Linked DNA regions of Caenorhabditis elegans. The protein of the gene in region 3 purifies or fractionates together with the protein of the main gene of each other region. This does not show direct contact. Each region holds a gene or a part of one and is shown on either strand. Other genes may lie near its edges. The genes, in order: T05B9.1, mif-4 and mog-5.

What was found.
Region 1: the proteins of mog-5 (region 3) and T05B9.1 fractionate together in Caenorhabditis elegans (co-fractionation; one large-scale study listed by BioGRID). This does not show direct contact.
Region 2: the proteins of mog-5 (region 3) and mif-4 fractionate together in Caenorhabditis elegans (co-fractionation; one large-scale study listed by BioGRID). This does not show direct contact.

Annotation. Positions count from the first base shown.
Region 1 is NC_003280.10:11,255,983-11,265,747, reverse strand, and holds T05B9.1 (Nuclear receptor domain-containing protein), read left to right. Parts: upstream 1-4,555; coding exon 4,556-4,605; intron 4,606-4,659; coding exon 4,660-5,308; intron 5,309-5,357; coding exon 5,358-5,447; 3' UTR 5,448-5,661; downstream 5,662-9,765. Other genes in the region: T05B9.2 (Apple domain-containing protein), read right to left, coding at 7,495-7,619, 7,889-8,098, 8,151-8,296, 8,568-8,652, 9,735-9,765.
Region 2 is NC_003282.8:6,334,730-6,337,877, forward strand, and holds mif-4 (Macrophage migration inhibitory factor), read right to left. Parts: upstream 1,266-3,148; 5' UTR 1,259-1,265; coding exon 1,199-1,258; intron 1,155-1,198; coding exon 1,026-1,154; intron 697-1,025; coding exon 520-696; 3' UTR 501-519; downstream 1-500. Other genes in the region: blos-2 (Biogenesis of lysosome-related organelles complex 1 subunit 2), read left to right, coding at 50-154, 201-238; ipla-6 (PNPLA domain-containing protein), read left to right, coding at 2,926-3,043, 3,110-3,148.
Region 3 is NC_003280.10:5,394,295-5,408,504, reverse strand, and holds mog-5 (putative pre-mRNA-splicing factor ATP-dependent RNA helicase mog-5), read right to left. Parts: upstream 8,968-14,210; 5' UTR 8,967-8,967; coding exon 8,796-8,966; intron 8,612-8,795; coding exon 8,354-8,611; intron 8,303-8,353; coding exon 7,528-8,302; intron 6,267-7,527; coding exon 4,924-6,266; intron 4,184-4,923; coding exon 3,314-4,183; intron 3,065-3,313; coding exon 2,879-3,064; 3' UTR 2,695-2,878; downstream 1-2,694. Other genes in the region: Putative RNA-binding protein EEED8.12, read left to right, coding at 1-145; clec-141 (C-type lectin domain-containing protein 141), read left to right, coding at 879-957, 1,371-2,016, 2,497-2,686; fbxl-3 (Putative RNA-binding protein EEED8.10), read left to right, coding at 9,623-9,685, 9,834-9,958, 10,015-10,115, 10,168-10,289, 10,343-10,443, 10,501-10,582, 10,631-10,954, 11,020-11,606 and 3 more; pink-1 (Serine/threonine-protein kinase pink-1, mitochondrial), read left to right, coding at 12,826-12,873, 12,924-13,055, 13,107-13,344, 13,389-13,546, 13,595-13,824, 13,872-14,210.

The DNA.
Region 1 (9,765 bases), 5.9 Mb from region 3:
AATTTTAATTATCGAAAATTAACAAAAAAAACTTCACAAGAGATAAAAATCGTTAACTGTTAACCACAGATATTCCTTTGAAGTTTTTGCTTTTTTTTTAAGCTACTGTGATTTTTTTCCAATGTCACCCGTCTTCTTAAATTCAACCAAAGCTTAATCTGTAATCAAAACCAAACAACCAAGTGGCTGAACCTACTACGTAACATCCGATTTTCAATTATTAGTCTTGTTATCTTTCGCCCCGTCACATCATTTTTTTTATACTTCCGGACATTACACCTTTGCAGTAATATTTCAAAATTCACGTGCAAAATGTGTAACTGAATAATCTTTGGTTTTACATTGAAAATTTGAAAAATAGAAAAAATAAAAACAAAAGTGTTCTAAAATTAGCATGTGTTCAAAGGCGACAAATTCTTTCAATTCTTCCATAAATGTGTTTTGATTGATGCCTGAATTGTGTTGACTGTCGTACTCATTCCTCATTCTGCATTCTTTGAACTGGTTTGCATTCAGTTTTCTCTTTTTTTTTTCTTCGTGTCCCTCAAAACAGTAAGTTTGTATGCCAATGATTATGTGTCTACGGACGAAATGACCGTTTTATGTGAAAAAGTTCAAGTGAGAGAAATGTATTTAGAGAAAAGGGATGGTTTAGGCTTACTATTAGGCTAAGACTTAGGTTTAGACCAACTTTCAATTCAGGCTGATGCTCAGGATCAGCCTAAAGTTTAGGCCTAAGTTTATTCGAATGTTATAGGATCATTCTCAAATTTATGCTCCAGCTCAGTCTTGCGCTGAACCTGAAAATTCGGTTTCACTTTTTTCTTTCTTCTATTTGAAACATTTTAACCCCTTCAAAATTACATTAAAATCCTACTTATACCTGTGACGTTTTCAGAAATTGTTTTATAAAATCGACAAATATCCCCATTTACTATAGTAATCCGGAACTAAAGTTGTATTTGCTATTTAAACTCCAAAAATCTACGTCATTCGGTCAGAAATGTAAATGCCTTGAAAATAACTTTCCAGAAGTGGATCAGATTGTAGTCCGCGGGGGAGAAGCTACAAAGGGGGAGAATTACGAGATGTTTTGCGGATCTTTGGCAAAATTGTTGAACTGAGTAGTAATGCAGGATAACACAATTAAAACTATAATTTTCTTCTGTTCTAGGTATTGAAAAATGCTACGTAGTTGATACGAGGATTACCAAAAACATGTTTTGCGGGCTTTGTGTTCGGAAGGATTAAAAATTAACAAACTATAGTATTAAAATATCAAATATCAAATAGTTTTATTTCGACCAATCAGCGATGTGCATGGGGTGTGGTCAGTATCGCTTATTGGTCAAAATTTCGATTGCGCGAGGATCAGCATTTTTGCGCTGGCATTTGAAAAAATTGGTACTTTCAAATTTCAGCTCCCTTGACTTATAAGGTAACATTGCTGTATGGTGCCGCTTTTTCCAGACCAGGAAGTTCTGAAAAAAAGGAGCAAACATCGGACACAGTGAATCATGGCACAATTGATCTTTATGCCCCTTTTCCCATTTCTTTGCATATTCTTTTTGATTTCCAGACAAAATTCGATTATCTCCTTTTGCTGAACGTTTAGGTTTAGAATACCCATTTTTAGAAAATCAGACATTTATAAATAGCATGTCCTAGGTAATTTCAGAGTTTTTGAATTTAATATTTATTTATTTTGGTCCGGTTATTTTTTTTTTTTGGTTTTTTTTCTAACGGTTCTTAATTTGAAAATTTTTGTACTTTTGTTTATGGCATTACATTTATTGAACGGTTATGGTCACATGCGACGTCACTTTCTTCACATGGCTGCACAAATTTTCTGAAGCAGTGCTATTAAGTAAATTTTAAAATTTCCCCAAAAAAACGACACCTTCTCGTCCTGCTTACAAAATGTTTTCCAGTTAAGGTTTGGCGCCTTTAACTACTACAGTAACCCTGTCAATTTAGGGTTAAAAAAACCAAACCTGAAAAATTTCCCTTGGACTCCTGAAGTTTTGTTGTCTCCACCAATCCATTTTTAAGGAAAAAAAAATTAAAATTCTATCCCCCGCCGCCGCAAATACTGCAAGTCCCTCTTAATTTAAACGTAATAGTATCAGTATGAAAACAAATAATTTATTTGTTGTTTTGTTCGAACACTTTTTTTGAGTAACACCGTCGTATCGTCGAAAACCGACATATCACAACATGTGTCGAGATGACGCAATTTTTTGAAATTATAATTGGGATTATGGTACAAAATGTTTTGAGTTGAAAAATAATTTGAATGTAGTTTGACCTATGCTACGGTAGGTAGAGTTATAGAAAGTTGAGCGCCGATTTACTCAGCTTTTGTTCTTCTCGGAAAAGTGTAAGTTTATTTATACGTATATACAACTGGCCTTCATTTTTGTAAAACTGGAAGAAATTGTTGAAAATCTGAATTTCCTGAAAGTATAGCCTTTTTTCTTTGGGAACCCCTTTCAGTTATTTTTGACACTATACTTCACTTCTTTCACTCTGGTCGAGCATGTTTTTGAAATTATTGAAATCGAATCAACTTGCAAAAACCTCCCAGAACTTTAAGAAAAACATGGTTAAAGGTTGGATGAAAATATTGTTAGACTTGTTGATCTTTTGATTCCGGTGCAATCTGTGTACTTTGGCACTCGACTGGGAGTTCAAAACTATGGCTTCAAAGTTGATAATGCTCAGAGTCAGAACACAATTGTTTTCTGTGTTTATCTTCAAAACTTGAAACACTCAAAAACAATTCGGAATCGCTTTGAACTTATGTTCTATTCCACTGGGAGCCGATCCTGGGCCTGCTCCAAAATTAGCTTTACCTCCCCCTTTCCTCCAACCATAATCATTGGTTTGCGACGAAAAAACTCAACTTTGCACACTTTTCGAATGATGCCATTTTTTGAACTTGGTTGGCTCCAACCAACTGGAACTGATTTATATTTTCACCTTCCGCTCTCAATTGGACATTGCATCCCATTTCTTTCTACTCACCGAGTTCAACTCGGTTTGACCGCTCCAGCTCACCCGAAACGACGAAAGCTTTAGAGGTTTTGAGCTGGATTATAACGGAAGTCTGAAGGAAAAAACACAGGATTGAGCTAATTAGGCAGCGAGGGTGGATAGGATAAATTACAGGATGTTAGAGATCAGATTTACTTTTTGAAAAAAAAAATATCTTAAAAATAAATTAAAACGAACATGTTTTTGTCTTTTTAAAATTAAAGAAGACATACATTTTTCGCAAACTAGAAGTTTTGTTTAATGATATTAATTGATAATTTCAATGTTTAGCCTACAACGAAGGTTGTAAAAAAAAAATCTACACCTCTCCTTGGGAAGTACACGATGACCGTAAACACACGGTAGAAATATCATGATATACTGGAACGTTTCTGAACATCGTGCAATTTACAGTATCCTCTAAATCTTAAAAATTCCAATAGAATCCCCTTCAAGTAAAGCTTCTGAGCAAAGTATATGAATCCGGAAGAAGTGTGAGGGAGGAGTGGGAGAGCATTAATGCGAGTTAATTTCTAGTCCCTTAGAAGCAAAAAGAGGCAGCAGGTAGGCAATTGAATTGAGGAATTTCCTGGCATGTTTATTTTTCAACCTTCTCCACTTTAATCTCATTTTTCTAAATGCAATAGCTTCCACCCTCAATAAATTAGTTTGCGGTGACGAGAGTTGCAGATAAAAGGAGCAATGACGTCTTCTGGAGTATCTTGAATTTCAATCATCGGATTTTTCTTTGAAAAATGTCTGATGATGTCAGGTTGCGGAAGTGATATTTGCAAAACAAATGTTTTATGGATATCTACATATGCTAGGAATTGGAATTGAAATGGAATGAATTTGACGAATTAATAGATTGGAATTCGGTTTATATATATTTTTGTAAGAGCAAAACAAATTGACGGCACTGACGGAAAAACGGCACCCCCCACTCTGTAAGTTTACCGGTAATGACCTACCGTATAATTGGTGTCAGGCTGTCCCATAACGGTTTGATCTACAAAAAATGCGCGAATTTTTTTCCCCAAAAAATGTGACGTCAGTGCGTTCTTAACCATGCGAAATCAGTAGAATAGTCTGCGTCTAAGTTCCCGCAATTCACGTAGATCAACCCGAAATGGGACATTCTGACATCACGTGACCAAACGGATGGCCGAGTTTTTGTAAAAAAACACAAAAAATTATGTTATTTTATGGGTCAAAAATGTGTTTTCTTACTTCACAAAATTTTGTGGAAATTCCGTGTTTTTTCACAAATTTTGGAGATTCTAAAAATTAAGGGTACGGTAATCACTGACTTTAGTGTTTAGTCCGCAAGCACGCAGCGCACGCGACGCGCCCCTCATGCGTCGCGTTTCACTCTTTTCCGTTCTTATCACCTTGCCCTAAAATTTATTTTATTCTGATTTTTACGAAGTCTTTTGTTCCTTTTTTTAATTTATGGAATTTTAATATTCTTCAAGTTCCATATATTATATGTTTAATTCATAAGGCTATTTTGATTCAGATGAACACTTCAAGTTCTGCAGATCCGAAACCGGATGCGTCACTGTCGAGGTACTTAATCTAATTTTCAACTTACCTTCCTGAGTTTACGAAATCTTCTTTCAGTTCGAACAGCAAAATCAAAAAGGAGGAGGATTTGGAGGCGATGAAAGAAGCGATTGCCCAATTATTGCAAGGAGTTGAGGAACTGACCCAGGACAAGCTAAATGATGCCAAGTCCAGGAAGAAACTTGAAGAATCTATGGAGGAACTTAAGTCACAGAACTTGGATCTCAAGGCTCAGCTGGATTTCCAAATGGCACACTTTCAATCGCTCTTTGAAGCACACGAAAAGGAAATTGCCGATTTGAAAGCTCGCCAATATCAAAACAACTCGATTGCCGCGCAGACACCACCACCAGATGTTCGTCAGGAACTGCGTTCATTCCCGATGGTTAAACATTCACGAGAAAATCCCGAGCTGAGGAATGTGCCGGTGTTGATTTTCTCAAGATGCATGCTCTGCGAGACTGATGAGCACACAATTCATTCGTGTCCGATTTACAACACAAATTCGAAAAGATACGAAGGCTTCAAGGATAAAGGACTCTGCAGATCTTGCGCACTTCCAGCGAACTCCGATGGATCTGCAACTTGTGGAAGAAATTGCATGTTTTCGCGTCGCAGATGCACAAACTGCTGGGATAAGGGAGGTGACAAAAGCTATGTCTATCACTTGGAGTTCACATGTCGATGGGACGAAAGACGATCGCAGGTATCGTTTTCGGATATCTTCGAAGAGAAGGAATTGCTTTTGTTTTCAGAGGACATCGCCGTTTTCAACTGATCACTCGGATCGTTCTTCCAAACACCCACGTATCTCATTTGATGAATGTGAAAACCATCATTATTGAGATGAGACTCACATTCCCACAATCCGTCAACTCAATTCACCTTTCCCGTTTCTTTTTCCTTTTATTGATAGGATTTTTTGTATAACTTGAAGTGTGAATGCACCCCCCAACCTCCTCATCGGCTGCCCAATTGCCACCACATTATTATATTTTCTCATACCTTGCTCATTTACCGTCACTGTTCAATTGTTCATTAATAAAGCTGCTAGATTTCAAAGGTTCCACCAGGCTATTTCCGCAAGTTTCCTTCCTGTGGACACCAGCTTTCACAAATCCGGGATAAGTTTGTGAACACTTGTTCAGCAGACACGGAGGCCTGGTTCCATCCGATCACGAGTTCCTTGTCTCTCGGTAAAAGATCAGAAATATGCGTCAGTAGTGGTGAAACGATCATTCACACCAGGAAAAACAAAACATGAACATACTTGTCAGCTTTCTGGTGTAGCAAATGTGTCTATGCTTTACCTTTGGAACCCCTGGCAGACACTGTCGCAGTTTTCAAAGATAACCATAGAGTACGGCTGCAACTATCTGAGAGCTTTTCAGATGGTGATACCACCGACTTCATTTTTGCTGGAAGTAGTCGATAAAGGGATTGATGGTATAAAAAACGTAAAACAGTACCCACGCAAGAAGCCACATTCTAAACGACCTACGTCTTCATCAACATTATCCATAAATCACAATGCAAGAATAGTTAAAAACAGAACGTATATGATTACACAACCGCAAAAGACACTCAAAACATGGAGATTAAAATATTTCCACGCTTTGGAATATCTCTAGTATGTTACTTATGGATTAGGAAATATTTAAATACGAAATTAGAAATTTGTTGAAATCCTAAACTGAAACCGAAAAATGTAAATAACATGAAGTTTTCATTAGTGGTTGATTTTTGGCCCAATGAAAAATGGTTTGGAAGATATCTAATACTTATCCGGTTGAGCAAAGGAAATAGTAACGGTCTTTCCAACCGTTTCATATTTAAAAAATGGATGTGAAACCTTGCCTCGATTTACGCGATTAGTGTACTCCCCGAAGAGAAGTGTGTATGTTTCTAGAATCGTTGCACCATGTTCTAAAACATAAGGTTCTCTCACTAAAGTTGCGAAAATCAACAACAGGCCGTGTTAGAGATACACACAGGTTACTTTGGAGTTCTGTATTTTATATAATTTTTCTGGTTGTCATTCTGAGTCTTGGTCTGCGTAACAGTTTTCAAAGCGATATACTACTATTCAAGTTCCCACAGAAAAAAATTTGAAGAAACTCACGTAGTACATCCTAGATTATACTTTCCTTGAGTCTCAAACACGCTGTCTACTAAAAGTTGGGAAACCCCTACAACATGTCCTAAGCCAAATCTTTGGTTCCTATTTTTCTGAATAAATCAGAAAAGATCAAATCAAATGACCAGGCGCTATCCTTCCTTATCCATCTTTTATTCTAGGAGAGAGATTAATAATGCTAGGTTTCTGAAGGGATCAAAGTGATGTGGTGTTGCAAACATAGTAGCAAACAACTTTTGTTCCTTCGGGCTTTGTTTCTTACATTATTATTATGAATCGACCAGAATTCACTTCCGTGTTTGGGTCAAGAGGTTTCTTGTGAATGTGTGTATATAAGTAAGTAGTCAAAATTCATCTCCCACTCACTTGGCGGCGACCTTTCAAAACAACGCCTTTTCTGACTACTGAGTTTACGAACACTAACTTACTCAAAAATAAATGAGTGTTCGTTACTTACTAAAAATACGAGATTTCTGTTCTGCAAATAAAACACAAAGTGTAAAAATCGAATTGATTCATTGATCAAGCAATTCATAGAGGTACATAGTTTTAAAAATTCTTATTACCCGTATTGTGTGTTGGGAAAAGTGTGAAATGAAGGTATTGGACATGAATGGGGGAAACGAAAGCAAGCGAAACAGGAGTTTTAGTACCAAGAAAATTGAGATTTTTGGAGCATTCGAACCCGTAAACTGTTATATACTTACAAAATCTAAACGACTAATAGCTAAACATAATTAAATACAAGATTAAAATCATATTTCAAAAGGCCTCAGTAAAATACTTCGTCGATGTTTGTGCTTTGGAATTGGGATGAAACCGGAAAACGCGTCGTATTCTAATCGTAGTTCGTTCATCGTGCTGATGCATTCACAGTGACCTGAAAATTAAAAAAATTAGTTTTTTTCTTCAAAACTTAAGATATATATTTTGTCGACCACCAACATCAGCACCCACTTTTTGGTTTACATATGATAGATAAATCTCTGAACACTTGGAGGCTTAGGGAAAGCCAATTTTAGAAATTGAAAAAAAGAAAACAGGATTTCCCGATTTATAGTTATAAATATATTAAACGATATTAATTTTTGTATTCTTAGACTCTACAGATCTTTCTGACATTTCTTCAAACATCCATACAGCACTCACCTAGAACTTCTTGTTCTTCATCATCTTCTTCTTCTTCTACTGGTACAACGTTACTCCGTTGATTGTCGCTGTTGGGCCTCCAGGAGTAGTACAATGCACCGACCTTCCGACAGTTTTCCTTGCACTCTTCTCCATCTGGCACATCATCAGCCTCCATCACGATTGGACCAACTATTACATGATCTTGAAGGCGATACCGTACCTCATCTTCTAAACAAGTTTACATTCTAGCAATCACTTCCAAATTTCTCTAGCCTCTCACCATCATCTTGGCAGAATCCGACCATAGTGTTCGGTTTAGCGATGAGCTTTCCAGACGTGCTCCGTGATTTCAGATAGCATATCTTCTCTTCGCTATTCCATTCGTAGCCAAAACATGAGAAATCTTCGATGCACTCTTTCGCACATCTGCAACATATACATTTTTGATATGATATCCAATTCCGACGTCGGAAAAATCCTCTATGAATTGTTAATGAGAGATATAATCAGAAGACACTCCTCTCGTGTGAATTTAAATTTAGAAGCTTCTGGATGAAAATTTAGAATTCTCAAGTTCAAAACAAGGATGTCAAAAATGTGTCATATGACTTTTGTAGTTTTAGTATGCTCTAGAATGACAAAAAAATTTATTTTCAACTTTGAACCTAGTCAAAGGAATTTAGTAAAAAAAACTCACTCTCGATCCACGAAATTTCGTATCCTTCGATAGTTCCCACCTTCGATACTCATTCCAATTTGAGTGTTGAAGCACTTCCCTTTGGCTGCAAAATGACAATAGAGCAATTTCATCAACAAAAATCAAGATTTTGCGGGGGTTACCAAGGGATTGGGCCCCCCGCGCACTCTTGGAATTCTGATTCCGCTTCGCCGCACGTCTGCGACTGAAATGTCACGACGGGCCTATTCAGGAAGACACACTCGTGTCCATGCGGTCAGTTCAGGAACTAGCAGACTTTTGAATCAAAACGTCCCCACACATCGTGAATCATGTCGTCCCCCCTGGATTCACGTCATGTTTCGCGGTTCATCACATTGTGAATGAGAAACCGATTCATAACTAACGAGGCGATGTCCCCACCCAATAAAGGATCATCCGATGTGCTAATAATGGATTGGCGAACATGCAATAAGGAAATAAATATTTTTCCTTGCAAAAAGAAAAACTACCAGCTTAAAGGTACTTAGGAGCATGATACAGAATGAGAAATCTTTGAAATGTTTTTCTAAATGTTCATTTGAAACTGAAATTCAAAATGACGACTAGAATCAAACAAAGTCTTTTTTATTCCAGAAACTAAGATTAATCAAGGAAATGGAAATGAACATTGAACAAAATGGAAAAAGCAAAATAACATGTCTACAGTTCCACAATTTTCTTTTTTTTCTAGAAAGCGTTCCAGAATTTAGGCCTACGCCTTAACCTAGCCGCAATGTAAAATTGGTAATTTTCAAATTTTCCTGTTTTGTTGCTCATTGCAATTAACTATCTCTTTTTTCGAAATTTCATTTTCAAAATACATTTTCACTCGAAAAAGAGATATTTCGGAATCCGTTCCTCACATCATGGGACTCCCAAATCGGAACCTCTCAAGCAATTTATCTATTTTTGTTTTATTGCGGACGCATCTTGTTCAAATGACCAATCGGGACCACGATTCGACGGGTACAACAAATGACGTGATTAGAGGAAATCCGTCCGCGCCGACTGGTAAACGCTCTGTTTTTTTTTGCTTTTGTTTTTGGTCGTGCGGTCTTCCTTCCGCCCCCATCCGAAAAAGATGAGGAAATAAAAATGAGTTTAGAGAACGCTAGACCTCAAATAGTCTTGGAGCACAATACTCACCTGAGCAGGGAATAAAAAGAGCCATTAGCAA
Region 2 (3,148 bases), on a different chromosome or scaffold from region 3:
TATGCCTTTATTATTTATTTCGGAAAATTTATGAAAGATTATTTTCCAGACGAGAATCTGCGTCCATATCTTTCCCAAATTGATGCTATGGATGAGAGCACCCGGAGATTGGAGGAAGCTACCGCTGTTCTTGAAAATTATGTTACCCAACTCGGTAGGTTAAGCCTTTCAAGAAAAAATTCAAAGATTTTTAATTTCAGAATCCAAGCTCACCAACATCCAACAGCAAAGCCAATAAGCCAGCTCAATCTCAAACTATTTCCAGCTTTTCTGTAACTAAATTAATGTGTGATTTCTTATTCACATTCCGTTCAATAATTTATGTAACTCTAGTCATTATATTCAGCATAACTTATTTTTACATTTTCTTGTCAAAGTTTCTATTTCTCATTAATGCTAATTTTGCTCCCTCCCTTTTGCTATAAAATAACTTATGAATTATGCTTTGTCTTGTTTTTTTCGATGTTTTCAGATGTTTACTTCATTGTTAAATCCATGCGTTTCAACTTTTTTACAAATTTATTCATACAAAGAAGCAATTGTCTTCCCTTGAGTTGCAAAACTTTTTGCATCTTTAAAATCAAATGATATGAAAATATGGGCGGGATCAAGCTTCAACTGCTCATTGAGCACTGATGTCAATTTTTTTGCATATGAGTCATTTTCGATTCGAGAAGAAGGCCGGGTTGTTTGGAACTGAAAATTGTTATTCTTAATTTTCAACGAGTTGACATTTTCAAAAAAAAAAAACACGGTCTCTGGTCCCGGCACGTCCAAAACTTGTCAGCTACCGTACCCCGGTATTCTATCACTTTTTAGTTAAAAATATTTTTCTCATAAAATTAACTTATATTTTATGAATCTAGTTAGTTTTTCTATTTTTCACACATTTCTTCTCGATTAAAAAAATTTTAATTATAAAAAAGTTTTCAGATTTTGAAAAATACACAGGTTACTGTAGCTGAAAAATTTTACACGTGACAAGACCCAAGCCTAATATTTTTTCAAAATAAAAAAAAACGCACATTTACAATTGCAACTGGAATTTCTTTATTCTCAAATCCAATTCTCATTCTAACTGCCGGCTCAACAATAATCACGAATTTATCAGCTGGTAATTCCATTACAACTGATAAATTGTAGATCACATCTTGCTGAAAATATTAGAAATTAGAAATTTCGTTTTATGCAAACTTACTTCAAACTTTTCTGGAATATCAGCACTTCGGATGTTGGTTTGAATTCGAACAACTTGCATTTTAATTCTAAAATTTTGAAATTCGGCTTGAAAATATTTTAAAAAAAAGAGAAATTGTCGTTTCGCAACATAAAAACCAACGGGAAAAAATGCTCAGCCAGCTGAGAAAACATGTCGCTCGAAGAAAAGAGCGTGCACTCGACAATAAATACACAACTCCATTTGTCAATGTTATGTGCGCAGGATGGACAGAAATGGGATGACATGGAAACAATTAGTACGGGGAAATGGAAATAAGTTTGACCTTGAATTTTGGGTTGGGCACACGGTTTTTTTGGTGAAAATCGGAAGTAGGTTAGGGAGACACAGATCAGAATGTGTTGCAACAACTAGAAGCAAGAATCACAGTTTTGAATCAATATTATTTATATTATCGTAATTTCATTAGGGTCTCGCCACGATCTCAGTTATGTAGTTGATATTATTCAGATGCAGATTTTCGCGATTTTTGCTATAATAATACGGTACCAGGTCTCGGTACGACAATTTTTCTTAGACACAACCATGTCAGCGCTTTGAACAGTACTGTAGTTTCAAACTATCTTTGTTAACGAGAAGTATTTCCTGAAATTCGTACACCATATTTTTATTGCTGCGCTCCATTTTTCATGACTCATAAAGCTGGAATAGGTTCAAAAACTTTTGTTTAGTTATTCTAGATTACTGTAGACTAAATCAGCTGGCTGCTCATCTCGAAATTTCCAACTCTTTTTTTCCACTCGGCTCAATTCCGTTCGCGATTCGTGACTCAACATTTCGAACTTTCTCTGTCTCATTAAAGTACCTGTCACGTGGGGACTCCCCTCTGTGACGTCACATATCACGTTGTCGTGTGATTTGTCTTCAACATTCTTCTCCTCCCAGACAAGACCACGTGCTTTTCGGTTTAGTGCAGTCTGTCCTTTCCATTTCAATTGTATATATGCATGATGACAGAGAGGTGCAAGAGACTCAGAAATAGAAAGACAATGCGAGAGACAACATAAGACGTGGATACGCAGACGGAGAAACAATGTGGGTAGTGCAAGCTGTGGACTACTGAGTGTTGAAACGAGTGGCGTGATCCTCCCGACCCTGTTCTCTGATGGCCTGAAATAGTGGGCTTTGTCAAGAGATTACAGAGAGACACGGAAAAGTGAGAAACTTTCTTCCGTTCTTTTGAGTTATCACGTAGTTTTCCAAACTGACAAGGTTTCTAAAACTGTTCACTCTTCACTTTTTTTCTGAGATTTGAATTTTTTCAATGAATTTTCCCGTGAATTCTTTGAAATTAACCGTATACAATTCCCACGTCTCATTTTTTAAATTTCTTTTTTATTTAATTATTGTTCAAAAGCGAAATTTTGTTGTTTTTTGCGCCAGAAATACGGCACACGGTCTCGACACGACAAGCATAGGAAATGTGAAAAGACGTGTGCCTTTAAAGATTACTGTAGCATCGATTTGTTGGAATTCATGCGTTTTATTGTTATATTTGAGTTGTTTTAAACATAAATAAAAGTGTTTTTTGTCTAAAAAACTATGAAATTCTATAAAAATTCCGCAACAACCGAGACCTTGTCGCATTTAACTAAAATTGTTCGTGGCGAGACCGGCTACCGTATATCTGGCGCAAAAATCGTAAAATTTCACTTCCGAGTAATAAATAATTATTACCTTTTTTAGATATGGCTACCACAAGTACACTGATCCATCGAACATCCCTTCCACTGCTCCGCCGACATCCGAGTACAATTGATGGTTTAACACCAGAACGACCATTTTTTAGCAGTTCAAATACACAAGGTACAATTTTTTCTGATTTCGAAAGTCTATTTTCAACAGAAATATGAAAAATTGAATTTTTTTCAGGCGGAGCAAGTGCACCACCTGGATCCTCAGCAACAATTT
Region 3 (14,210 bases):
ATCAAGAGGAACCTTCGGAAGAGGACGTGGAGCTGCTCGCGGAGCACCAGGAAGACAACAGACAGTCGTTGTCAAGTATGTCTATGTAAATGGTCCAAATCGGGGAGGACGTGGTGGAAGAGGACGTCGATTCAATCCATACTAGAGCCAGAGATTCGTAATCTGTAATTTAATAAGTTTTTAAATGTTTTCATTACTTTACAATAATTTTTTTCTTTCATAATAATAAAGTTTCCTTTCTAAAAGTGATTTTTACAACCATTCATGAATTTAAAATCGAATTGAATGTCTTTGTAACCTGGAAATTATATGAATGTATCGTCAATAAGGATTTAATCAAAATACACTCATAATAGTACACAAATATTAAAAAAATTATTTTAAGTCAAAGTTTGGTAAACTGCCAAATTTTCCTAAAGTTGGACTTGTAAGTTGTTTTGAGCACTGTTGCAAATTGAAACCTCTAGAATGTTTAAAGTTCTTTAAACATAAGCATTTAAAACATAAAACTCGCAGAAAAATTTTTGTTCGACTTTCAAAATTTGACTGATGAAAAGTGAGGTTTTGGCAATTTTTCAAATGTGAATAAACAATTTCAAAAAAATATTTGAAAACTTTTACTATGGTATTTAGTCATTTCAAACTAAAAGAAGTGGGTTTCAATAACTTCCCCCACTGACTCTACTTCTAATTCCGATCTTCTGATCTTAACCGTTCACTTTTTTAACCGATACATCAACACCTTGCAATCTCTGCTCTATCGTTCCTGCAAAACGTATTGTTTCAGTTCAAATAATAACACTAAAAGCCCCCCGCAAAAACCAAAACCTAACCGTTTCGGGACAATAAAGCCTGCCGGAAATTCAAGGTATTCAAACATGCGCTCCTCATCAACACTTCTCATTGCTTTTGGCCTCTTTTTGGCTTCAATGTCGGTTGAAGCCATTATCAGACCAGGTGAGTCTTAGAGTTTTATCTACAGTTTAGTGAGAAGCACAACTATAGGATTACCACAAATATTTGTAGTTCGTACGTTAGGGTCTTGAAGCGAAAATGAATTTAAACCAAATTCGTGGCAAGACCCATCCCCAAGAAGCAATCTAGCCATCATTAACTATATGACACAGGTGCCCGGTCTCGAAACGACCGACACTTTACAGCTATCGTACCCACGAGAAGTACACAATTTTTCATCTCCTCCCAGCACGCTCCGTGTCTTATGATTTTCAACGCGAGAACTTCATATTTTGTTCAAAAGATGAATATCAAAATACATAAAAAAATCCTCAAAAAAAATTCTTACCTGGGTAAAAAGGAAAATACCTCAACCAGCTGAAATAACTATTCATTGAATCTCACTAAAACTTCAGGATATGGAAGCGGAGGACATCGTCCACCATCATCGTACCATGGAGGACATCACAATGATGATGACTGTACGACAAAGCCACCAAAGTCCACGAGTACTCCATCAACTTCCACATCAACTCCTACAACTACCACAACAACTACTACTACCACCACTACAACTCCTACCACAACCACCACCACCACCACGACCACCACACCTGAACCAACAACTACCAAGGTAAAAGTTTGTCCACAAGGATACACAAGCTTCCTTCGTACTCCTGCTGCTGACAACTCGTTCACTTCTGAATGGTGCATGCAATTGATATGGTCCCCAAGACAACCAATGCCGATCAATAATGCATCTGCTCTTTGCCAGGCTTCTAACACTGAAGCAGTTGTAACTACCTTCGCCAACGAGGAGGAGCTCAATGTGTTCTCTTTACAAATGGCACAACAGTTCGATCGTGTTGGACCGGCAACTCGTGGCGCTATTGCTGTCGACGGAAGACGTATTGCAGCATGTGTTTCAAGAGATCGAGGAATTCTTGACAGTGAGGAATGCAATGGTACAAATTCATTCGTAATGGTTGATAAGCATACCTCACCAGGTTTTACTTGGTCTAAATGGGCTACAAATGAGCCATCTGCAAATGCTTGGACATAGTAAGTTTATTCAAAAATGTGCAACAATAAATAAAATCTCTATTAGTGCGGCTCTCGAATGTTTTTGAAGATATTAAGACAATTCAAAAACATTAAGTATAGAAAAAGATTTAAAAATATGTTCTCAGTTAAAGTTTTTCTACAAAAACAAAAAATCACGAGATTATTAGCTGTCAAAGTCGAATATGCGGTATATAACTTGAAGCACACGGTGTCAAGCTTTTTTTGCTGCTCATAAATTTGGAAGGCGACCAAAAAAATTATTTTTCCTACATTTTTATACTTTAATTTTAGTTTAGTTATTCGTGTTAAAACATTCTAAGTGTCGGAACATGCGACATTGCTTTGAATATTTTCAAATTTTTTGGCAAATTGCCAAAAACTTTGAAAGTGAGAAACTAGGCCAGCTGGCCCCTCTTTTCAACTTTTTCTCCCAAAAAAAGGCTTAGAGAAATTGTGATTTATCAATTGATTTTCCAGTGACATCGAACAATGTATACAATTTACCGTCTACCCAGCGCTCACAGGACCAGGGGATAATCCATACAATATGCTCAACCGTAACAATAAATTCAACGATATCTACTGCAACATGGACAAGGCTCCAAATGAGCCAACCAACACCGCCTACTGGAACTTCGGTGCTCTTTGCGGAGTCCTCCCATCCTAAACACTTCTAATTCTAATGATGGTATATTTTGAATGTTTAAATGATAATAAATGAGGTTATTCAAAAACAAAACAAGTGTACTCGTATTTACTCTACAGACAGAAAACAAAGAACTGACATCAGAAAAAGAAGCAAAAATGAATAACTTAAATATTAAAAAATAAAAAAACGATAAGAAACACAGGAGACTGATTATTTGTTGGGATTGTATATCCTCTTCTTGACACGTGTGATACGCCAGGCATTTGCATCTGCATACTTGTCGAACAACGGATCGATTTTCTGGTTTCGTTTGAATGTTGATAATTTGGTAGAATCTCCGATTTTGAAGAATGACGGTGCAAATTCAACAAGCCATTTTGGATCGATTGCGGTGACCTGGAAATTGAAAATTAGGTTTTTATTTAATTTCTTATTTAGACTTAAATAGTTTTTGGCCCTAAATGAAAGAATAAAGTCTCCATATGCCAAATATGAATTTTAAAAATGTATATAATTTCTCTAAACTTTGTATTTTTTTTTCAAATTTTGAAAATATTTCAAAAGGGAGCATAATGGCCTAGTTTCGACATTTTTGTGTTTTCCGCCTACAGTACTTTTCCGTATATAAAATTGAAATAAACTTACTTCTCTCATATATTCCTTAGTTGTCATGACGAGTTCATGATATACAACCCATTCTGGTTGTTGTTGGAAACATGCTGATGATGGATGAATATAAACATTCTGTCCATCAGTCAATGTTCGATATCCTTCCTGTGGATCACGTTTTGCAGCATTTCGGAAGAATCCAGAGCAAATAGCCTTCTGAACTCTCGATACATCCCGTCCACAACTGACCATCAGAAGTTTATGACGATCCATGATTCCGAGTAATTGCTTACGAATGTCCTGAGCTCTCTTCATACTTCTCACTTGAATGAAATTTTCGAAACACCATGGTTGTGAGAAATGATGGTTTTTCCATGAATTGTAAACCGCTAGAAGTGTCAAATGATCTCCTTCTGGTTGATGGAATTTCGCCTTCTTCTGGTCAGCATGATCCTGTTTTTCTTTAGGTCGATAGAAAATGTTTTGCACATTGAGCATTGCCACAATCGTAAGAACTTCTTCTGAGCATCCCAGATCGACAGACATGATCAACAATTTGGAAAGTGATGGTTCCAATGGAAATTCAGCCATTCGACGACCAAGTTTCGTGAGAAGACCATCTCCATCAAGTGCTGAAAGCGTGTGAAGTGTATTGAGAGCAGTAATCATTGAATCCAGAGGTGGAGCATCCATGAAATCAAAATCAATCAAATTATTGATTCCCATAGCTTTAAGCTGAAGAAGTGTTGACGCCAAATTTGTTCGCTGAATTTCTGGAACAGGTGTCGGAAGCATCTCATCACGGAATGCACGTTCTGTGTAGAGACGATAGCATTTTCCAGGTCCCGTACGTCCTGCACGTCCTGATCGTTGCTTTGCTGCGGCTTGTGAGATTGGGGTGACAACCTGAAATTTATATTGTATTTTCGTTCTTATTTATCAGAAAATTGTTTTTTAATATCTCGAAAAAAATTATCTTATTTTGAGTAGCTAATAATTTTAATTCGTCTAATTGCAAACAATATTGAATTTTATTGCATCATTTTCAGTTTCTGGTGAAAACATTTTTTTTTCACTTTTTTTTCGAATCAAAATTTATGAAAAAAGGCGAAAAATGTATGATTCACTTTTTCGAAAAAAAATTTGTTAAAAAAAGGCGAAAAAATATTTATTCCACTTTTTTTCACAAAACATTACACTCAAAATTAAATATAACTCTACAAATATTTATTCTTGAAATAATAAGAATTTTCGTTTCAAACATTTCAAAAATATAAAATTTCAGTTTTTTCCTGTTTTTGGCGAAATAAATTGTTTCGCTTCGAACAAAATTTTTTTTCTTGTTTTTGGTCTCTCTGGTAAAAATGGATTTTTTTCTTCGTTTTTTTTAAGACAAAAACCAAAAAAAAAAAGTTTTTTTTAAAAAGAAATCCGAGTTTTTTTTGTTTTTGGCAAAATATTATTTTTTCGTTTTTCGTCTTCGAAAAAACTTGTTCTCCTGGTTTTTGAACTTTCTGGTAAAAATTGATTTTTTTTTTCGTTTTTTTAGCCGCTTTTCGTGTTTTTTGAAATTTTTTTTTCGTTTTTTGTCTTGTTTTTTGGTCGAATTTTTTCGTGAAATCCCTGACGGGTGCATAAATGCTTACCAAGGAATCCATTCCACTTTTCGGATTGTAAATCTTCTGTTTCACAAATCCTGGATCAACGACATAGAAAATTCCATCAATTGTCAAAGAAGTTTCGGCAATATTCGTAGCAATAACAACTTTTCGCTTTCCGGCAGGAGCTGGATCAAAGATTCTTGTTTGCATTTCACTTGGAAGAGCTCCGTAGACAGGAAGAATAATCAGCTCCGGCACATCAGGTCCCATTGATTTCATTCGTTCATATAAAACTTCACACGATGTATCAATTTCTTCTTGTCCAGTCAAAAACACAAGAACATCACCAGGTGGCTCAGTCAAATGAATTTGCATTACAGTAATATGTGCAGCTTCAAGGTAATCTGATTCTGGTTCTCTTGTGTACAGGATCTCAACGGGGAATGTTCTTCCAGGAATTGTAAAGATCGGAGCTTCCAGGAAATACTCTGAAAATTTAACTGAATCCAAGGTGGCACTAGTGATAATCAGCTTCAGTTCCGGACGTTTTCTAGCAGCAGCTTTCAATAATCCAAACAAGACATCCGTATGAATTGTACGTTCGTGAGCCTCATCAAGCATAATCAACGAATATCCAGAAAGATCAGGATCAATAAGACATTCTCTCAGAAGCATACCATCCGTCATGTACTTGATAATAGTATCTTGACTTGTACAATCTTCGAAACGAATTGTATATCCAACATCAGTTCCCAGCTTACAACCGTACTCTTCTGCCACACGCTTTGCTACGGACATTGCTGCAACACGACGAGGCTGGGTACATCCAATTTTACCACGTCTTCCAAGTCCAGCTTCAATTGCATATTGTGTCATCTGAGTAGTCTTTCCTGATCCAGTTTCTCCAACAACGACAAGAATTTGATTATCAATCATTGCTTCCATCAGATTCTTTTTCAACGCAAAGATCGGAAGACTTTCTCTCTGCTCAACCATACTCAAATTGGTTCTTCTTCCATAAGTCGCTTTTCCACCAGCTGTCACATGTTTCAACCATTCTGGCATTTCTTTCATTTTATTATTCCGATCCTTTGACTCATCAGCACTCCACGCAGTCGACTGATTTCCAGACATAGGATCAAGAATTCGAGCATTTGAACTGAATCCTTTCTGTGTATCCATATCACGCTCTCGTTGTGCTTGAATTTTCGTTTCTTTTCGTTCTTTTGAAAGAGCACCTTGCATTAAAGCTGCTTGAGCTAATGAACCATCCGGATTTTTGACAACTTTTACAGGTTCTATTTCTGCACCGCCTTTTCCATATCCACGTAAAAAGTCAGGTTCGTCTTCGACAAGCTCGATTTCAATATCCTCGCCATCACTTTCATCTGAAAATTGAAAAATTGTTGTGCTTTAAATGATAGAAACTTTATTTTAAATATTTAATGATTTTTTTTTAAATTTAGCTTTTTTAAAAATTGTCTTTGAATTATCGGGAAAATCATTTCCTTGTAATTTTTCGCATTTTCCTGCTAAATTCGAAATTTTTCCTTTGATATATGCAACTTTTGTCATATTTTGGCTTGTCTGTTGAAACTAAAAAATCGTCTTAAAAACGATAAATTAGTGTCGATTTTTGAGGAAAAATGTCTGCGTGCGCGAATTCAAAAACAATTTAGTCATTTTCAGGAAAAATTAATTTGTTTTAATTCAAAAAATTTTACAATTTTTCTTGATAAATTATTAAATCATAAATTTTATACCATCATTTTTTTCATGTTTTTTTTTCAATCTTGCTTAATTTTTAATTTTATTTGAATTCCCGGGAAAATTATTGCCGTAATTGTAAAGTATTCGCATTTTTCAGGCTAAATTCGATATTTATTCTCCGATGCATCTTTTGTCATACTTTGGCATTTTTCAGTAAAGAAAACCAAATTTAAATTTTGTTGAAAATAAAAAATCGGCTTAAAAACGATAAATTACTGTCAATTTTTAAGGAAAAATGTCTGTAAAACATCATTTTTAGTCATTTTCAAGAGAAATTGAAATTGTTTTCAATTAAAAAAATTTTGCAGTTTTTTTTTTAAATATAAATTATTTTTAAAAAATCATATACCGTATTTCCTCTATTAGTCTTGCATGCAAGACTAATTTTCGATTGACCCGTAGGGGTGCAAGACTAATAGAGACTGCAAGACTATTAGAGGCTGCAAGACTAATTTTCGAAGACCCGATAGATTTGTTCAATTGGCCATTTATCGTCACAAATTTGACTTGAAACAGTCTAAATCATGCAAAATACATACTTTTCTATTGTTTTATCAATTATTTTAACACTTTAAAATTTAATTTAGCTATAAAATGGCGAAATTGTTGAAGTTTTCACAAAATACTGCTGGTCTGGCAAGAATAGGGGTGCAAGACTAATACCGTATGTTCTCTATTAGTCTTGCATGCAATACTAATAGAGGCTGCAAGACTAATTTTAGATTGACCCGTAGGGGTGCAAGACTAATAGAGGAAATACGGTAAGCAAAATAAAGCACCATTTGCGCGGAATTCAAAAATAATTTAGTGATTTTCAAGAGAAAATAATTTTTTTTTCAAATTTATCATTAATTACTAGATCATAAATAAAATACTCACCATCATAATTTCTTAGAACTCCCATTTCTTCATCAAAATCAGGCATATCTGTGGCTGTGAGAACTCCGGCTCCTTGCATTTGTCTTAATTCCCACCGTTCAGGTGTCGAAATTCGAACTCTCGCCTTTCCACCACCAATTGAGGTCGAAGGACCTTGTCCTACTCCACTTGCTTCAGGATTCATCCACGAGGAAGTTGATGCTGGCGGTGTCCGTGGACGAACTCCGATTGCATCCGGATTCAGGTCGGTCTCGCGTGGATTCAAATCTTCTCCACTATTCTGATCGACTTCTTTCATTGACAACGAGATTTTTCCATTTTCAATCTTATTAACTTTAACTTTGACATTTTCTCCTCTTTTCAAAACATCTGCGACGGTTTGAACTCGTTCATTTCGAATTTGGGAGATGTGAACAAGTCCTTCTTGTTTTTGACGGAAACCTTCCAGTGTGATGAAAGCTCCGAACGATTGAATACTGTTTACACGACCATCGTAGATTTTTCCGATTTCTGCAACTTCGGATTTTCTAGCACCACCATCATCTCGTCGATCACGCCGATCTCTTTGTCTGTCGTCTCCTCTTCGATCCCCACGTCCTCTGTCTCTGTCTCTGTCCCGATCCCTCCTATCTCGATCTCTTCTGTCTTCACGACTCCTACTACGTCTCCGACGATCCCTGTCACCACTACGACTTCTTCTTCGTTTTCGATCACGACTCCTTGATCGACTTCTTGAACGGTTTCGTTTTGAATCTGATTCCTTTTGAAGACGTTTCTGTAAATGGAAAATTTATTTTAACAAATTTCAAATATCAAAGATACGTACCTCACTTTCATATCGGCCTTCCATCTTTTCTAACTGAGCCATAAGATCATCTTCATTATCTTCCTTTTCTTTCGCAGTATTTGCCATCGCTAGAGCTGGAAGTCGTGCTTTAATTTCTTCTTTTGCATCAGAAATCAATGTAATTTTGTGTGAATCCTTGATATCTTCTTTTGAATCACCACCTTTCTTGTTTTTCTTTTTAACAGCAGTCATGCTTTGTACTATACGAAGTATGGTCGCAGTGAGGGAATCATCAAACTGAAATTTAGAATTAAAGAGAGGAATATCGAGACTTTTATATTTATGAGACGAATAATGTTTTTTTTAAATCTCGATATTTGATATTCATCAAAATATTTTAAAACACCTTGAATTAAAATAATTTTGAAATTTCCTTTAAAAAAATAATTTAGTCGTTAAATTTTCTCATATTTCAACATACCTGATCCCCAAGTCCCTGACTATCCAAAGCCTTTTTCAGTTTATCAAATGTTGGATTCTCTTGAGCCAAATGAATAACAAACTCAGCGACATCTTTTTCGACGACACCAAAATGGTTCTCAACTTCACTGAGGACCTTGCTCACAAGTGAGAGGTGCTCAAGCTGGTCCATCCTGAAATTTACAGATAAAAAATTTAATAAAATAATTCTTTAAAGCAGTTTTAATTCCGAAAAACTCGAACAATAGAAAATTAGAGTAAAAAAACAAATTCGAAATCTAAAATAGTGGGCGTGGTCTTTCATGCAAACTGCGGCCCGCTTTTTCGCAATTGTGCCGCACAGTGTGCAGCTTTCTTTAATTATATTTTTTCAACAATTATTTTTTATTTTATTGAAGCTGCCGGCTTTCATTTCGTTTGTAAATATGTTTCATTGTGTTTTTTTGAATTTATTTTAGTATTTCCAAAAATGGATATATAAGTTTGTGTTAATGTAAAATCGTTATTGCAAATACCCTTTGCCTTCAAAGTTAACAAAAAACAAGGTCTTTTAAAGCATGATTTTAAATTTAAAAGCTGTTCAAAAACTGCAAATTTTCTAGATTTTCTTTGAATTGGTGCTTTTGAACGTTTCATAGTGACCAATGTGTCCCCAAGCATCCGAATGTCCCGTTTTCTGCGTCTCTTCACTTCCGTATAATCTCTAACCCGACTCACTGGTAAACATGCGCCATTCCTCCTCCGAACAACGACTAGTGAAAATCGATCAAAATTGTTTTCAAATTTATTATTAATGTTTCAATTTCAGAAAACAGTTAAACCTAAAAAATGGATTTCAATCGAAGCTTCACATCGAACCTCGGGAGCGCTGGAAGTGCTAAATCACAACAGGTTAGAGAACACAATTCGATTTTTTGTCTACCAAATAAATGTTAATGTGATAAGAAAACACTAGGGAACAGTAGCCAAATCAAATCATATGGTTCTGTTATCTTTTCTCTCGAAAAAACGTTTTTTTCACACATTTTCAATTTTTCAGAGTATGTTCAAAGCACTCCGCCGGCTTCATGGACAGAACTTGGAGAGCCGAGGGCTTCATGATATGACTGAAGCATTTCAGTCATTTGTCACAAGGGCACGGTTTTTCAGTATTGGAAAATTGAGGTAATATCAACATTTTAGCTCTGGTTTTTTCTAAATTAAAATTAAAATATTTTCAGGCGAACTTGGTCCCACTCTGCCGCAGAGTTTATGAAATATCGACGACTTTTACCAATGTTACTCGCCGATGGAGATGCATTTGATGGAGGAGAAACAGACGGTAATAAATCTTAAAATTTGGAAAAAAAATCAATAATTGTTTTTTTTTTCAGATTTCGATGCATCTATCGCTTTCCAACATACTTCTCGTGATGATCGAAAAATCGTGGTTTCGAATATTTCTGCTAAAGTCACCCAATCACAGCTTCAATCCTTCTTTTCTCAATATGGAAAAGTGTGTTGTTTTAATTATCATTTAAATATAAAATTTTAAAATTAAATTTCCAGATAACCAGCTGCATTCTGCCTCGCGAAGAGAAAAAGACATCAGTGTTCGGAACACTTCCAAAGCATTCCAGAAATTGTGGAACTGCTACTATTACTTTTAAGTATAATTTAAATTTTTTTGGTTTGTTCAGGTCTTTTTAATAATACAATTTTTGCAGAAAGTCTGAGCATGCTGATCGCGCGAAAAATGCGAATCCTGAAGAGTTGAAGTTTTATGATCAAGTTATGGTTGTCTCAGCTGTAAGTTTTTGATTTGGGATTTAATTTTTAAACCAATTTATCTTGTAGTATGTATCGAAAAAACGTGGAGGTAAAGGTCTCGTGCTCAGTGATGATGTTGGAAGTCGTGAAGATACTCCATTGTCCCGTGCTTCATCTACACAGTCGTTAGCTTCAGGATCCGAGCAATCATTCAATTTGGGAAACGTCCCGGATAAAATTCTTAGAAGGGTCATCTCATTTTTACCAATTCACGAAACAATTCGATTGGAACGAGTTAATAAAAAGTTCATGGAAGAATCAATTAAATCCTGGGAACTTGTCAATAAAATTGCATTGGCAAGAGAAACTGTATTCAACAAGCAACGACCAATGAGAACAAGTCATCTTAAAATGAGTTTGAGCTGAAATTTAAAAAAATTAGTTTTAAAAAGTTAATAAAAAATAAAAAATTTCAGGCGATTCTTACTCGTGCTGGTGCACACTTGAGGTCACTTGATGTTTCTGGAATTGTGCATCTTCTTGATGATCGCCGAGCACTTAAAGTCATCGCAACATGCTGTCCGAATTTAGTTGATCTTGATATTAGTGGAACTCATGCTCAGGCTGAAGCTCTCGAAGAACTTGGAGAATCACTTTCACATTTAGAACAGCTATCTTATAGAGGAATGGAAACAACTGGAGACAAGGCATTCTACTTTTTACTTAAAAACTGTGGTCATTCACTTAAATTTGTGGATTTACGAAATTCAAAACGGCTCCACGGACGATCATTCAAATTATTCGGGTCACAACTGGAAAGTTTATATTTGGATGGATCATCAAAAGTAGATGAGATGGCTTTTGAAGATTTATGCACCAGTTGTGGAGGTCTCAAAGAATTACGGATCAATGAATGCTATAAAATCACAGATGAGAATCTGAGTATGATCGCTAGAAGAATGGAAGATCTTTCAATCTTAACATTATGTGGGGATGGATTCAAAAGTTTAACGTCAGCCGGATTGATTCATATTAGTCACATGAGAAATATTACAGAATTGGCGTAAGTTCCATCTGAACCTATGATTAAAATTATATTTATCAATGTTTCAGCCTTGACTACAACGCTCTTGTTAATGATGAGCTTCTTATCTCAATATCAGCTGGTCTACCGCTTCTTTCATCACTCAGTCTTGCTAACGCTGGAAACGATTCGTCGATCACTGCAGAAGGAGTTTCAGCGATTAAAAATCTAAAAGAACTGACTCAGCTTGATGCATCGTCGCTGGCAGCTGTCAATTCAAAAGTTTTAGAGCAACTGGGCTCACTGAAAAAGTTGGAAATTATTCAACTGAGAAATTGCACATATCTTGGTGATGATGGTGTGCGTGCGAAGCTTAGAATGCCAAATATCCGCCACGTGGATCTAAGTGGTTCAATTTTAGTATCAAATGACTCGATTCAACAGTTTATCAAAGCATTCCCATCAGGACCAAAGGTTCGTTAGGAGGAAATGGATAAAATTAAAAATAAAATTTAGCTTCCACCAATCACCCTCGTTGTCGGTGGAACTGCCGCTGATGCTTCAAAGTTGTCAGTTCGAGGATCAAGAGTAGTCGTCGACTTTTCCGATTATTCCACGATTGTCACGATGCAGACAAGCCAATGTTCGTCATCCAAGTTTGCCATTGGAGGATCAGCGTCAGACGCTGAAGGCTCGGATGATGAATTTGAAGCATTGACCGCACAAAGTATGTTTTAAGATTAATTTAGTTCTTTAAAAACTATTATTCAAAAATTTTCAGGAAGTTTCTACATTGATGCTGTCTGTGGAGAAGAAGAATCACCAATTACAGACGATGGAAAATTGGCGGAATGGGCTGAAAAAGAAGCAAGAAGCCTCGGGCTTATTAAGGATTAAAGCTTCAGAATTTTATCGAACGAAGGAAACAATTTCATCCGTTTTATTGCAATTATAGGTTCTTATTTATTGATAATAACATTTTTTGTCATTTTCAGCATTTTTCTTGTCATTTTTTTTGTAACTAGTCTAATGAAATTTTCGATTTCTTAGAGACCCGTTTTGAAAAAATTACGGGTTTTCAACCGTTCTTTGATATTTGTTTCAATTTTAAACATTATGAGAAAAAGTGATGCTTTTTCGAATTTTTTTAAATTCAAAATATTTTTTTCTCTCGGAATTTTGTCGTTTTTCTCTTAAAAAACCAAAAAATTATATTAAATTATAATACTTATAATATTTTCAGTGTATAGAAGTAAGAATGTCTATGAAACGATTCGGAAAAGCAGCATATCGAATCGCAAATGAGGTATCTTCAAAATCGTTCTTTTTTATAATCGTTAAATTGAAATTTTTTAGTTAGTTGCAAAAGGTGGACGACTACCAATTTTCCAACGCTTCCTGCCGAGAATATTTCCCGCCACTTATAATTTAGGAGTTCATGTCGTACTCAAAAAGGCTCCATTTCCACGACAAAATGCTCTACGAATTGTAAGTTTATGAAAATTCAACAAAAAAAAATTAAAATTGAATTCCTTTCAGGCTCGCCTTGTAACTCGCCACGGTCGAGTTTTCCGGCCATTTTCCTCAGTAATAATCGAAAGACATCGATTTCAAAATCAAAATGATTGGCGTCGAAAGTTTCAACCGATTCGTAAAGAATTGCCAAGAAATGTGGATTTAGTCGAACGAATCAGGCAGATATTTGGCAATTCTCTACGATACAATGAGGATTTGAAAAGCACTGAATGGCCGAATAGAATTGATTCTTATGAGTTTGGTATGCTTTTTTCAGTGATATTTCTCCATTGTTTGAGTTTTCAGGGGAATTTCTCGGTCAAGGATGCAATGCAGCAGTTTACTCTGCGAGATTAGCCAATTCTGATGCAGAATCCTCAGGGAATACTCACTATGGTGCAGGGTTTAATGAAGTCACAAATATACTTGCAGAAATTCCGCCAGTTAGCAAAGTTGCACAAAAGGTAGTTGATAATCTTAATTCGATGATTAATATTGAAAAATCATTGCAGAAATTCCCGTTGGCAATCAAATTAATGTTTAATTTTGAACATGATCGCGATGGAGATGCTCATCTCTTGAAATCAATGGGAAATGAATTGGCTCCATATCCGAATGCTGCAAAGTTGCTCAATGGACAAATGGGAACATTTAGACCTCTTCCAGCAAAACATCCAAATGTTGTTCGAATTCAGACAGCTTTTATTGATTCGTTAAAAGTTTTGCCAGATGCGATTGAACGGTTAGCTTTGAAATTTATTGATAATGATTGAGAATAAGATTTTCCAGATATCCAGATGCCCTTCACACTGCACGTTGGTATGAGTCAATTGCCTCCGAACCGAAAACAATGTACGTAGTAATGAGACGATACCGACAAACACTTCATGAATATGTATGGACTCGTCATCGAAATTATTGGACAGGACGAGTGATAATTGCTCAACTATTAGAAGCATGTACATATCTTCATAAGCATAAAGTTGCTCAGCGAGACATGAAAAGTGATAATATTCTTCTGGAATATGATTTTGACGACGAGATTCCCCAATTAGTTGTCGCCGATTTTGGATGTGCACTTGCATGTGACAATTGGCAAGTAGACTATGAATCAGATGAAGTTAGTCT